Linked DNA regions of Kluyveromyces lactis. The protein of the gene in region 1 binds, or shares a complex with, the protein of each later gene. Links are inferred from orthologs where the notes say so. Each region holds a gene or a part of one and is shown in the gene's direction. Other genes may lie near its edges.

Evidence for each region.
Region 2: MEC3 (region 1) and DDC1 share a complex: the UniProt entries of both Saccharomyces cerevisiae proteins name them as parts of the checkpoint clamp complex. The link is inferred for Kluyveromyces lactis from reciprocal best matches to the Saccharomyces cerevisiae genes MEC3 and DDC1.
Region 3: MEC3 (region 1) and RAD17 share a complex: the UniProt entries of both Saccharomyces cerevisiae proteins name them as parts of the checkpoint clamp complex. The link is inferred for Kluyveromyces lactis from reciprocal best matches to the Saccharomyces cerevisiae genes MEC3 and RAD17.

Annotation. Positions count from the first base shown.
Region 1 is NC_006039.1:438,324-444,906, reverse strand, and holds MEC3 (Mec3p), read left to right. Parts: upstream 1-2,976; coding exon 2,977-4,137; downstream 4,138-6,583. Other genes in the region: PET18 (Pet18p), read right to left, coding at 1-618; GTPase GUF1, read right to left, coding at 845-2,740; SER1 (O-phospho-L-serine:2-oxoglutarate transaminase), read right to left, coding at 4,144-5,322; RPS30A (40S ribosomal protein eS30), read left to right, coding at 5,869-5,871, 6,401-6,583. UniProt on the Saccharomyces cerevisiae protein: Component of the checkpoint clamp complex involved in the surveillance mechanism that allows the DNA repair pathways to act to restore the integrity of the DNA prior to DNA synthesis or separation of the replicated chromosomes.
Region 2 is NC_006041.1:1,723,599-1,727,189, reverse strand, and holds DDC1 (Ddc1p), read left to right. Parts: upstream 1-1,429; coding exon 1,430-3,091; downstream 3,092-3,591. Other genes in the region: APL5 (Apl5p), read left to right, coding at 1-1,240; pyruvate transporter MPC1, read right to left, coding at 3,290-3,591. UniProt on the Saccharomyces cerevisiae protein: Component of the checkpoint clamp complex involved in the surveillance mechanism that allows the DNA repair pathways to act to restore the integrity of the DNA prior to DNA synthesis or separation of the replicated chromosomes.
Region 3 is NC_006042.1:16,100-19,294, forward strand, and holds RAD17 (Rad17p), read left to right. Parts: upstream 1-1,582; coding exon 1,583-2,695; downstream 2,696-3,195. Other genes in the region: KLLA0_F00286g (uncharacterized protein), read left to right, coding at 1-39; ubiquitin-protein transferase activating protein PEX22, read right to left, coding at 968-1,438; RPS12 (40S ribosomal protein eS12), read right to left, coding at 2,947-3,195. UniProt on the Saccharomyces cerevisiae protein: Component of the checkpoint clamp complex involved in the surveillance mechanism that allows the DNA repair pathways to act to restore the integrity of the DNA prior to DNA synthesis or separation of the replicated chromosomes.

The DNA of each region.
Region 1 (6,583 bases):
CTCTAACGTGGTAACAAAAATTCTGCTTACGTCTTCATACTGCAGTTTATCCACTTCACCTGCCAAGAAGTTACACCACTCCTCAAAATGATCGCCATCGTGTAGTTTTATCCATTCCTCATGTTTCCATTCTAATTTGTCTGACCTGGGCAAATCGTGCGCCCATTTCCAATACACATACTCTGCACACCACATATGAGTGACCCATTGTCCATAATCAACAGAGGCGGGCATCTTTTCCAAGAAATCAAGGTATTTCTGAACCTTTGGTAACACTTGGGTCTTGAATCTTTTAAGAGGGTCCCGTTCAGTTATCTGTAAACATTGATCAAAGTAGTCATTCTCTTCACCTGCCAAGAACCCAACTTGTTTACAGAGACGTAGTAAAGCTTCCTCACTTGGTGCTCTTGAAGAGTAAAAAGCGAGTAGACGGAGGGCTAATACGAAGAATTTTTTGTCTTGAGCGCAGTAGATATATAGAACATCATCTGATAATGTTCCATTGCAAAGCTCTTTAGGCAAAATATGATTTGTGACTGATTGCAATAGAGCTCTGTTTGCATTAATTAGCCTTTCAGTAGTGGACATAGTTGATAACGTTAGTTTGATGGCTTTCATCTCTTCTAAGATGTGTGTGGTACTGGAAATACTTTGATGTTTGGCGAAGCACCTGCTTATATATAATTGTTTCTAATTTCTAAGAACACCCCATGCTAATTCGGGGCAATTGTAACCGCACACATCATATTCGCTGGAAAATGGTATTAAAAGGCAAATAATGAGATTTGGTATGACTATATACAGAATTAAATATAATAAATTGATGTGAAAACCTCTGATGGGTTCAACGACGTAAAAAGGATTGAAAAGCGTCTTGATTGATCTGGATGTTACCGACAGTTTTCATGTTCTTTTTCCCTTGTTTTTGTTTAGATAAAAGCTTTTTCCTACGTGAAATGTCACTTGCATGAAGCTTGGATAAAACATCCTTTCTCTTAGCTTTTATTGTCTCTCTTGCAATGATTTTATTATTGGCTCTGGCTTGAATGACCACTTCGAACAATTGAGATTTTATGAACTTTTTGAATTTTTTTACCCATTCCTTACCGATATGCTCTGTTTGATCTCTGTGCATAACTTGTGCAAGAGCATCCACACTTTTACCATTAACAAGAAGCTCTAGCTTCACTATATCGCTTTGTTTGTATCCTACATCTTCATAATCGAGAGAAGCATACCCTCTGGAAACAGATTTTAATTTCCCGAAAAAATCGTCCACTAAGTAAGAGAGCGGTAGCTCATACCTTAGCATCACCTGGCCAGTCATGTTCAAGTATGTAATCTCTTTCTGGACTCCATGGCTGTCATCACATAATTGTATTACTTTACCGAGATATTCCTGGGGTAATGTCATGATAGCTTCGACGAATGGCTCTTCAAGAGACTCGAGATTTGATCTCCGTAAGGAAAGGTCGGGGAAGTCATCAGGATTTGTTATAATTTTCTTCTCGCCATCTTTGAACTTAATTAGGAATGGTACAGTAGGTTGCGTTAAGATAAGCTTGGATCCATACTCTTTCTCTAACCTCTCCGTGAAAACAGATGCGTGAAGAGATCCTAAAAATCCTAATCTCCAACCTTGGCCTAGTGCATTTGACGTTTCTCTTTGGAGGGACACTGATCTATCATTTAAGACGAGTCTACTAATATCATCGTCTAACGCTTTGAATTCGGCCCCATCAGCAGGGAAAGCTCCTACGAAGACCATGGGTTTTGGTTCTTCAAATCCTGGTAACACTTCAGTAATCGATTCTTTACCGAGATGCATCAAAGTATCACCAATCTTGGCATCCTTAGATTCTTTCATGCCAGGTACCAAATACCCGACTTGACCTGATTTCAGTGTGTTAGTAGCGACACGATCTGGGTACATTATACCGCATTCCCTCACTTCATACTTCAATCCATTTGCGGCAGTGATGATTTTATCTCCTCTTTTCACTTGACCATCAACTATATGTACAAGAAGCACCACTCCTAAATAAGAGTCATACCACGAATCCACCAATAATGCACGTAATGGTTTCTCAACTTTACCGGTCGGAGGAGGTATTCTATCAACAATAGCGGGTAACAATTGCTCGACGTGCAATCCAGTTTTAGCACTAACTTTGATACAATCTGACTTAGGTAGCTCGAACATATTTTCAACCTGTTCTTCTGCTTGGTCAATGTCAGCAATGTCCAAGTCAATCTTGTTTATGACAGGAATAAGTTTCAAATCCATACTATAAGCGAGGTAAAAGTTTGCGACTGTCTGTGCTTGAACACCTTGGGAAGCGTCAACGAGTAACAAAGCGCCACCACACGATGCATACGATCTTGAAACTTCAGCACGAAAATCCACATGGCCCGGTGTATCCACTAAATGTAAGAGATAGTCCAATTTCGTTCTAGGATCCTGGTAAAACATGGAGCATGTCTGTGCTTTGATTGTAATCCCTCGCTCTCTTTCCACCTCAAGCTTATCTAAAACTTGCTTACCACCTGGCTTAATCACGTTAGTGAGCTCTAAGAGTCTGTCACTGAGTGTAGATTTACCATGATCAACATGAGCCACTATAGAAAAGTTACGATATCTTTCAATTGGAATGGCATCGATCCTCTCTTGTAATGAATGATTACTTCTAACTTGTTGAAAGGCATACCTCACATGTCGAAGCAACCTCCTATTGAACATAATTATCGGGTCTGAAATTTAGAACTCGTAGCTCTATAAGCCTTTCTCTTTCGTCTATCGTTTAACGTCTAGAATTTATGTTTATAGATCTTCCAGTCATTAAACATTGTTGGCAACGAATTGTTTAAATTTGATGTTTATGGCCGTTCAGATCTAAAGTTCAACTTTAACTCATACATACAAAGGGAATAACAAAAAAACGTGATAGCAAGCTAATCCTCGGGACGAATTTTGCAATGAAACTAAAACTAAGTATTCAAGCAGGTACTGAGGACTACTCATTGTTCAGGACAACGTTGATAACGGTGTCCAAACTACGAAAAACATGTATTTTAAGATTTACCTCTTCTAGGCTGGTCATTATATCAACACCAAACAGTACAGGAACGGTCATAGATCAGGGTCAAGTTTGGTGCACAGTCCCACACGATGTGTTTGACACATATGTAGTTAATTCAATTCGAGAAGATAATAGAGTCGCCATGGAGTGCCCCTGTGATACTATTGTCGGCGTGCTGCGGAAATTCGATAAATGCAACGCAACTCAATTGACCATCAAATTGGTAAGATTGGTAACTGTTGACAAGGAAAGTGAAGCAGCTGCAGCTGCTCACAATACAGACAATACACTCTGCGGATTAAGCTTTTCATTTCAAGATACACGAGATGAAAGGACGATACAGCATAATATTAAGGTCGGCGTCAAATTACTGTACAATGCTCAAGACGAGAAGATAGTAGAACCAACAGTTAATTATGTGGGGATTTTGATGTTACAACTTCCGAGTCACGTAAGTGAATGGGGTCCAGGTTTTAATGCGTTTTTTAAGCGAATAGAACGATACGGAAATGTCAATACACTCAAGATACATGGCGAACAATTGGGCGAAAAGGGTTCACTGAAGGTAATTGTTGATGAATTTGACTGGAAACTTAACATCGCATGGAAAGGCCCGTTAGATGCAATGCTCAATGATATGGAAGGTGATGATTCACACTCTGATCCAAGAGATGATACGCTTCGACACAACGGTGAGACAAATGCAGAGTCATCCCCATCACCGGTAGCATGCAATGAAATGCATATTGAGGACAGTGATGTCTTGGACACTGGTATACACGGAAAATCCATTGATCGACATTCAACAATGCTAGAAAACGCTTCTGCTAGGCAATCACAAGACAAGTTGAAAGGTCACGAGGTTATAGTAAGGGTTCGTGATTGGAAAGTTTGTTCTAAACTTTATGAATCATTTGAAGAAGTCGTTCTAGTGATATCACACGATGACTCTTGTGTTTTCCATTGCTCTTTGGAAAGAGGCATTGACAGAGATGAAAACAATAAGGAGAAGGGTCAAATTATTTATTACATAAGTAAATGTAAATCGTTAAACTGATCACGATCATTGATTGTTCTCTGCAAACTTGGTGACAAAATCGACTAACAGCTTAACACTAGACAATTCAACAGCATTGTACAAAGATGCTCTGAACCCACCTACTGATCTGTGACCCTTGAGCCCAGTTAGATTTAGCTTAGTAGCTTCTTCCAAAAATTTAGAATCCAAACCGTCCTTCTTAATGGTGAAGACTACATTCATTTTTGATCTGTATTTTTTGTCTACTGGCAGATTGTAGAACTCTGGGAATTTGTCTAGAGCTTCATACAAGATCTTAGCTTTTTCCTCGTTTTCTTTTTGTTGGCTCTCAATTCCCCCTTGTTCCAATAGGCGTTGTAAAACTAAGTCAATGATATGTAAGGTGAAGATAGGAATGGTGTTATAAGCAGAGTCATTTTTCACTACAGTTGGATAATCAGTGGCAATTGGTGAGACTGGTAGAGAAGCATCCCTCAATTGCTTTGGAGAAACTTTTGCAATGTCATCCAGTATGTCTTTTTTAATGATGTACAAGGTCAACCCTGCTAACCCAATGTTTTTCTGAGCACCCGCCATAATCAAGGAATAATCAGCGACATTGATCTTACGGGACAAAATGTCAGAGGATAAATCCGCGACGATAGGAACCTTTGAGTCAATCAATTCTCGAGGCAATTGCTCTGGCCATTCAACACCGTGAACTGTTTCATTTTCACAAAGATACACATATGAATGCTTCTTAGCATCCAATTTCTGGACCCAAGTGCTTGATTCTGGGATAGTTCCAAATCTACCATTGTCTTTCTTCACATTAAAGATAACCTCCGTTGGAACACCTAACCTTTCGCTCTCCTGAGAAGATTTTTCAGACCATGAACCAGTGATCAGGTAGGCTGCAGTACCTACCTCACCGGTCTTACCGAAATGAGCTGCAGACAAGTTGGATGCAACGGATGAAAACCCCGTGGTGCCACCACCTTGCAAGAAAAAAACTTCGTGGGTATCTGGAATTGCAAACAATTCCTTCAAATGAGCCTTAGTATCGGTAATAACCTTAGCAGCAGCCTTAGAACGATGAGAGATTTCACCAATACCCAGACCTTCATCCTGGAAATTGATCAAATCCTTGGCAGCCTGTTGTAAAACTGGCAATGGTAATTGTGCTGGTCCAGCACCAAAGTAGTTCGATTGAGGTCTATCCATTGGTAATATAATGTGAGTTTCACGGACTGGCGGCCTTGTAATATACTGCTAAGGTCTTAAATCTGTTAAATTGCAGTCAACAAGACGGCAACTTGCTTGATCCATCGTTTAATCATTTCATTTAAATATTTAATATTCGTATTGACTAATTATTACTTGTAATACAAATGATGATCCCCAAGTCTAAGTCACGTGAAATGGCATGGATCATTCTTTTGGAACATACAGAGGACTGTCTTCGATCCCAACAAACATCCATACACCATTATAATTCTCTTCATGAAATACATCCAGACATCCAACGTCATATTACACAAAAATATCTGAAACACCCGAAATATCCCTAAACGGGAAATTATTGGCTGTATATTTTAGAAAAGTTTCAGCAGTTTGTGAGGAGCTTAGAGGTCAAACTTATGGAAACTTAGTTTGTAATGAATTTGAAGGTCGAAATGTACTCTGTACATAAGATTAGACATAGCAAAGGTTTATTGAATCTCCACTCTTTTTGATTACATTAAAGAAGCAGAACAAACTACAGACAAAATGGTACGTTAACTGTGTAATATATTGTTGGACTGGCGAGCGTTTATGAAACAAGAATGCGAAAATAGCAAGATAAGAAGGCACAAATCATTAATGAATAAGGAGTTAAGAAAATATAATGGGATAAAGGACAGAAACACCAGTAAGATCAGTGGCAAATACTAGTACCAGAAGTATGTGTCGAACACATTATCATAGTTCGAAGATATCAAAACATATATGAGTTGAAAGTGAAGCTCTCATTCGTTGGAAAGAGCATCAATGATATGTGTTTTTTTTACTTATGGGCACCATAGAAATATAGTACTATAGTGGCAGAAAATCAAGGGAGCTTATCTGGAAATAGGAAATTCAACGATAGATACTGAGAGATCTTGTTCATAACACTGAAAGTCTATCCAACTAAAGAAGTTATGCCAGTTTCTCTTTTTGAAGAAGAGGAATAGGTTCAGAACTTACCTATGAAATTTTGGTTATTGGAATTATTTTACTAACAACTGATTCAAATTTGATCTTTGAATTATCTTAACAGGGTAAAGTTCACGGTTCCCTAGCTCGTGCTGGTAAGGTTAAGTCTCAAACTCCAAAGGTTGAAAAGCAAGAAAAGCCAAAGCAACCAAAGGGTAGAGCTTACAAGAGATTATTGTACACCAGAAGATTCGTCAACGTTACTTTGACCAACGGTAAGAGAAAGATGAACCCATCTCCATCTTCT
Region 2 (3,591 bases), on another chromosome or scaffold:
TATTATCGCCAAGCTTCCTAACCTACTAAAGGAAGGAATATGGTGCTTTGGGGAATATTCCGAGTTAATTGATAACTGTGACACTCTCGTTGGCATACTCCTAAACAAAGCCAATAAACTTCCAGACACCGTGATACAGACAATGATTCCTGCATTAGTGAAATTATTCTCAACCTATGCTAACACAGAGGGTAGAACCAAATCTGAAATATCAGATCTTCTTTCTACACTAATCGCATTCATGGAACAAAAATACAGATCAACGAATTTTGATATACAAGAACGAAGCGTAGAGTTCTATGAAATGTTAAAACTCTGTCAAGATGCTTTGCAAGATGAAACGGAAGGGTTACCTCTATTAATTACCGACGTTTTACCTAGTCTTTTCAATGAGTATGAACTTGGCCCAATGTCACACGGACAACAACAGCAGTTGGTTAAGGCGTTAACACTCGATTTAGACACTCCATTTTTATCTTCTGTTGAACTCGAAGAATTAATGAAAAATGAAGAACTATATGAAGATGAAGCTGCATATTATTCCGACAAGGAGAGCGTTAAATCTGCTGCAAGCGCTGGAAGTTCTGACGGATCTGTAACTCAGGATATCTCGTCAGAGAAAGACATTTCAATGACAGAAGAAGAACTTGCTGCTTTAGAAGAGCGCAGAAGACAAGAGAGGTTGGATAATCCGTTTTATTTGAATGATGATAAAATTGACCGTGCAGAAACGAAATTGATAGAATTGAGTGATAACGATGATGAGGGTGAAACAAAAACAATCGAACCCGTCATCAAAATTTCGACGAAAAAGAAGAAATCTAATAAGTCACCATCTGTACAAATTTTGTCAGATATTGTAGTGGCTCCACCATCCACTATCACAAAGGAGGGGAAGAAGAAATCAAATACTTCTGGGCATTCAGATGCGATAACTCTTTCCACATCGAATAAATTCAAATCTTTTGATTTTAGTCGAAAGGATAACATTGATTACGACGGTGAATACACTGTTGATCAAGAGGAGTTGGAAAAGCTAAAAAATAAACTTGCAGAACAACACATTAGTGACAATTTAACAGCCATCCAAGATGACAAAGAAGAAGTCATAGTTATTAAAAAGAAAAAGAAGAAGAAAACCAAAGATGGCAGTAAGAAGGAAAAGACTAAGAAAAAATATAAAGAGCCCGCTGAAAAAGCTTCAACTCCAGCAATTTCTCTAGCTCCAAACGAATCATAATAACAGATTAATATAATCACTAATCCATTCGCACTATTTCTTTATAGACATAGGTTCAAATATTTAATCTGTAAAAAGATAAATCACGTAATTGCAAGAAAAAACACGAACTTTAGATCTAGTGAAGAGTTTTTTATCACCGCCAGATAAAGGGATTCTGACTGGAAGTTGTGACAACAGGCCATTGCAATGTCATTTCGTGCTTCCATAAACAGCACGAATGAACAGACCATATGGGGTAAATGCTTGGCAACTCTTTCTCAAATAAACCCTGATGTCTTCATAACAATCACCGAAAATGGTGTATTGATATCATCCATGAATGCAACAGACACGACCATGGCCAAGGTACGATTTCCTAAGTCGTTCTTTACAGAGTATCACTTCGAGCCGAAGAAGATTGTATTTGGTGAATCTGGAGTGCAGCAGATCACCGATTGTAATGACATTCTTCACACAATTTATAGTTTCAAAGCGAATGCAAAGTATCTTTCCCTATTATCACTTAAACAAGAGGATACAATTAAAGAATACATGTTAACTATCGACAATTGTGATAATTGTTCTGAAACTATAGCTAACAAACTCATAATCAAAATGAAGACAGCATCTTTGCTAACTAAAGAATATCAAGTTAATTTTGATCCATTGGAAAGTGTTCAGATCATATTAAGTCTGAAATATAAACAAAAATTCCTTTCAGTATACAACAACAAAAGTAAGGGCAGATCATTAGATCCTCGGTTAGTGGATTATTTCAAATCTTTACAAACAGAATTAGAACATGATATGTTTAATAGAGGTATCGCCAATGAACACAATATTGTGAGCACAGTGAAAAATACACCGTTGACGGTTAACGACGAAATCAACTTCTTAAGTTTTGATCAATCAATACTAAGAAACTTCATTGACTCTATTATGTCTAATGTGATCGAGGAAATAAAATTGGAATTGACGAGACATACTCTAGCCATAATAGGATTTACAAAAGCCGTGTACAACATGAAAAGTCAAGGGTACCTCAAACAAGCAGTTACAGTAACGAATACATGTAGCGCAAATGATCTAGAACATTACTGCATATTTTCAACAGAAAAAAACGACGGTTCGAGACCTTCAAGCAGATCACAAAGTATTAAGAAGAGCATTACGTTCAAATTACGAGATTTCAAAGTATTCTTAAATGGACTTAATTGTTGGAAAACAAATGACATGATAAGAATCTGGTTTTGCCAACCTGGTGACCCCATTCTCTTTGAAATAACAAAAGATGGGGTTGTATTGGAATTAGTGCAGGTAACTGATACCGAGGGTAGGGTCGAAGAACCAGAGGATTCTGTCACCCAATTTAACCTGTCACCAGAAAAGATAGTTTCACCAATCAAGAAGGATACCGTAGTGAAACCAGATAAGCTTCAAAGGCCGGAAAGTAAGCAGATGCTGTATCCACATACAAAACGCTCACTATTTATAACGGATGAGGATGGAGCAGATGATGATGACGAAGACGAAGAAGGAAGGCAATTCAGGTTTAAAAGGTGGGGGAAACAAAATAGTAACACTACTCCCAATTCAAACACTGGCTCCCAGTCAACACCATCGAACACAACAACCGAGCCGTCAATTAGCGAGCCAGTAAAGAGAATGAGAACAACTGTCGAATGGGGAGGAACAATTGAATCGAACAATGTCGGTACAGATGAATCTCATCAAAGAGAAATGAACAAGGCTGCTTATCTAAATAATTTGAAAAGACAAGCAATCCAAGAAGATCTCAATCTACAGGAAGAAGATGATGGCATGGGTCCCACACAAGCTGACAGACCTAAAGGTTTGTTCGACTCTTGATAATAAAGAACGAAAGAAGTACTTTATTTTTCATTTCGAAATGAATTCATAAACTGTAATTGAACATATAGACATATAATATACAGTACGTAAATAAACTTAGCATTAAATCTTAGATAACAGACCTACACAGTAGTGTAATCTAAGCCATGGGAGAAAGAATGTTGTTTTGTCGGCAGGTTACATTTTCTCTTGCATCTAGGCTGTCTTGGCGACATTGGCGTCAGTAGCGTCAGCTTTCTTGCCACCTAGATAATGATGGTTTAAATATCTGTAACCTTGCACAAGTTGGGCTGTTTCATTCACAACGTGACAACCGAATAACAAGAAGTTCCTTGGGGTAACAGCTAGGGAATATCTCATAAACACACCAGAGTACATCACTAGAGCCAGCGTCATAGGTCCAGAAATCATCTCCGGATCCTTCTTCAAATCGTAGATGGCAGCAATTGGGATACCGAAGTTTGAAACTGGACCCCAGAAATGTGTGGTGAAGACAT
Region 3 (3,195 bases), on another chromosome or scaffold:
ACCGATTTTGAAAACAAAAGATTTATCTACCCACTATGAGTTACCTTTAGTAGGAGTGTATAATTTTGGGATGGAGCAACTATCATTCTGTAAATCGTTCGTCAATTTCTACAAATTTACCCAAAGCTCTGTTCTTTTCAACTGCATATATCCACATTTCTAGAACGTCATTTTATGGAAATATTGTATATTTGAAAATGGGGCATCGCTATGTGGACGAGTACGAATAGAGCCTTTCACAATCCATAAATAGCTCCAAAGACACATAAGCAGAAATTTCTTGTGTTATCGTGGAAGCTATTACTATGGCTTTGTTGATCCTGCATATCAAATAGCATTAACAAGCCACTCTTTCTTTTAAGTTGCTGAAATATCAGTTAATAACTGTCAGTCCAATTATTTCCTCAAAAGAACATTGTCTTGCTACACTTCACTGCACTATCCTTTGGTCCTTAGGATCAATTATATAAGCGCCAAAATAAAGAGGTAATGAAGATCAGTTTTGAAATTGGCGATAACATTTTATTTCGGCCCTATGCTGTGCTATACCATCCTGTCTCTAAGACAGTTCCTAATATTATATCATTGAGGCCATTCTGTTAAGGAATGCTGTTTTTTTTTATATTGATTCCAGTGCATGTTGAGGCAGGAGTAAGGATGTGAGAAATCTAGTAACCTTCTTCGGGTGATACAATGCGTATGTCGGCTTTCTGCTTTTACAGTACTTGATTGTTTAATAAAGTCCTTCAGCTTGCATGTTGTTGTTATAGCCGAGTACTCTTTATTTGTAGAATACACAATCACGAACATCAAGCATAGTATGCATTGCAGTTCAATAGCAAATTTCAATATGGTAGATTTCTAACCATTTCATTCAGCCAGAAGTTCTGTTAGAGATAAGTTTACGATGTAAACATTATAGTACTATTATAATAGCATACATTAAAACTGATGTAAATTTCAGATTTCAAATGTGCGAAATCTGTCCCACATACCTCCTGAGATCTACTGGCATATCAGAAGTCTTATCACGACTTATTACCAACTCGTATTTCTTTAAATGCCTAACTGCACTCCAAACGGCCGATGAATTGTTAAAGATGACAATCTTATGTTCAATAGACGATAGCTGTAACTTTAAATGATTTCCTAAGTGGGCAACTTCTGGTAAAACTAACATTACGCTGTCTTTTGATAGTTCTTCTTGCCAATTTTCGATCTTATCGAACAAGTCTTGTGTAAGAACGTAACATTTCGACTTTGGTTTTACGTCTCTTATATTCGGGTTTCGCTGGCCACGATACAGATATAATAAATAACCTACAGTTACTGCCACTGTCGATAATACCCCAACAGCTATAATCGAAAGCTTCTTTTGCCGGGCTTGCTTCATAAGGGACTTGTTTAGCCAATTGGTGGTTTCCTTATCTCCTCGCATATAATGGCAATGAGGTTTCTATTTATGATTTTGATTCCATTTCACTTGTTTTTATAAACAATATATCAGTATGTACAATACATAAATAAGTAGAAACCAGAGAACCGTCAACATCTTGAACCCTTAATCTTTCGGCAACCCACAATGATAGATTCTCCTATTTTTTATGCGACGACTGTCCATTTGGATCATATTGTGACGGCTTTGAATTGTTTAACACCTTTTGGAGTGAAAGGTGAAATGCTCATCACCATAGATAAAAATGGTTTGTCCTTTGCCCAAGAAAACAATCATGTAATCAAGATCCAATTGGTTCTTTCACGGGAGTTATTTCAAACCTTTCACTATAGCCCGATAACTGAAACATCTTTGACCAAGGTATCCCTGCGGCTTGACCATGTATTGGATAGTTTGAATATCAGTAACGATCGGAACGATATAATTGAGTGTACTTTAACATATAATGGGGATGGATCCCCATTCATATTAATATTCGAAGATAACATGATCACTGAAAGCGTCGAATACTCAACATATCTGCTCAAAGACTTAGACAACACTGGGTTGGTACTAGATAGAACGCGACTGCAATTCGAATGCATAATAAAAGGGGATGTCTTACACAATGCCTTACACGATTTGAAGGAAATTGGATGCAAAGATTGCTATTTTTATGCGATACATAACGAAACCACCAAAAAGCCCTTATTCGCATTGATTTCAAGATCTCAACAAGGTTTATCTAAGATCATATTACCTAATGAGAGATCGATTTTAGAGAAGTTCGAAATATACGCAAATGATTCAACCACCCTCTTATATGATCATCCAATGATAAGTGTTTTTGATTATGGAATGCTAGACAAAATACGAGCCAGTGCTCGGATTGCTTCAAAAATCATGATACGTAGAGATGTACATGGTTTGATGACTGTTAATATATTGAATGAAACGAAGGATATACTAAGACCTAATGACCAGGAGTATAAGAGGACTAGAGCCATTTCAGGTAACAATCTACCAAGTCATTATCCTGGGATAATTATTGAGATATGCATGCTTGAGAAAGCTCTTCCAGAGCTTCCAGACGTAAATGAGATAAAAGTAATGATGATTGAATATATGGGAAGTGAATCGCGCCATAATTTCCTTCCCAATACACAACAACCGCCGAAGAAAACTGCACATGACGATAAAGAAGAGGAAAATAGTGACGGGTATGAAGCTGCTTCGCAAGATTTGCCGCTATTCTTCTAGCGCAACCCTGCTTCGACAAGCTGAATTAATCAGGTTGGAATTAACGTCATTTTAGGTATAGATGGAAACTATTTGTAAACATATAGATACCCTAGAATATATATACAAACTATAAAATAGAGCATTTTATCAAACCAAACAATGTCCATATTCCCATGAAGAAATCTGTTTATGTTATTGTTGAGTATGAGAAAAATGAGTAAAACAGAAGCGTTAAATTGGATTTGAACATAGATTCAAAATCCACTCATTTATTGTTGGCTGAAATGTTCCAAAAGAATTTCTCTTTCTTGGGTGTCAGCACCCCAGTTCTTAACAACAACAACGGAAGCACCGACGACCTTTCTGGCGTTACCGTCACGGTCGATCTTACCCAAACCGGCCCATTCACCTAATTGCTTGGCATCAGCAACCTTGATTAATGGAACGTTGTTTTCAGTGGCCAAACCTTGGACCAACTTGCTGATGGCTTCTTCAGTAACCGATTCAACCAAAACAGC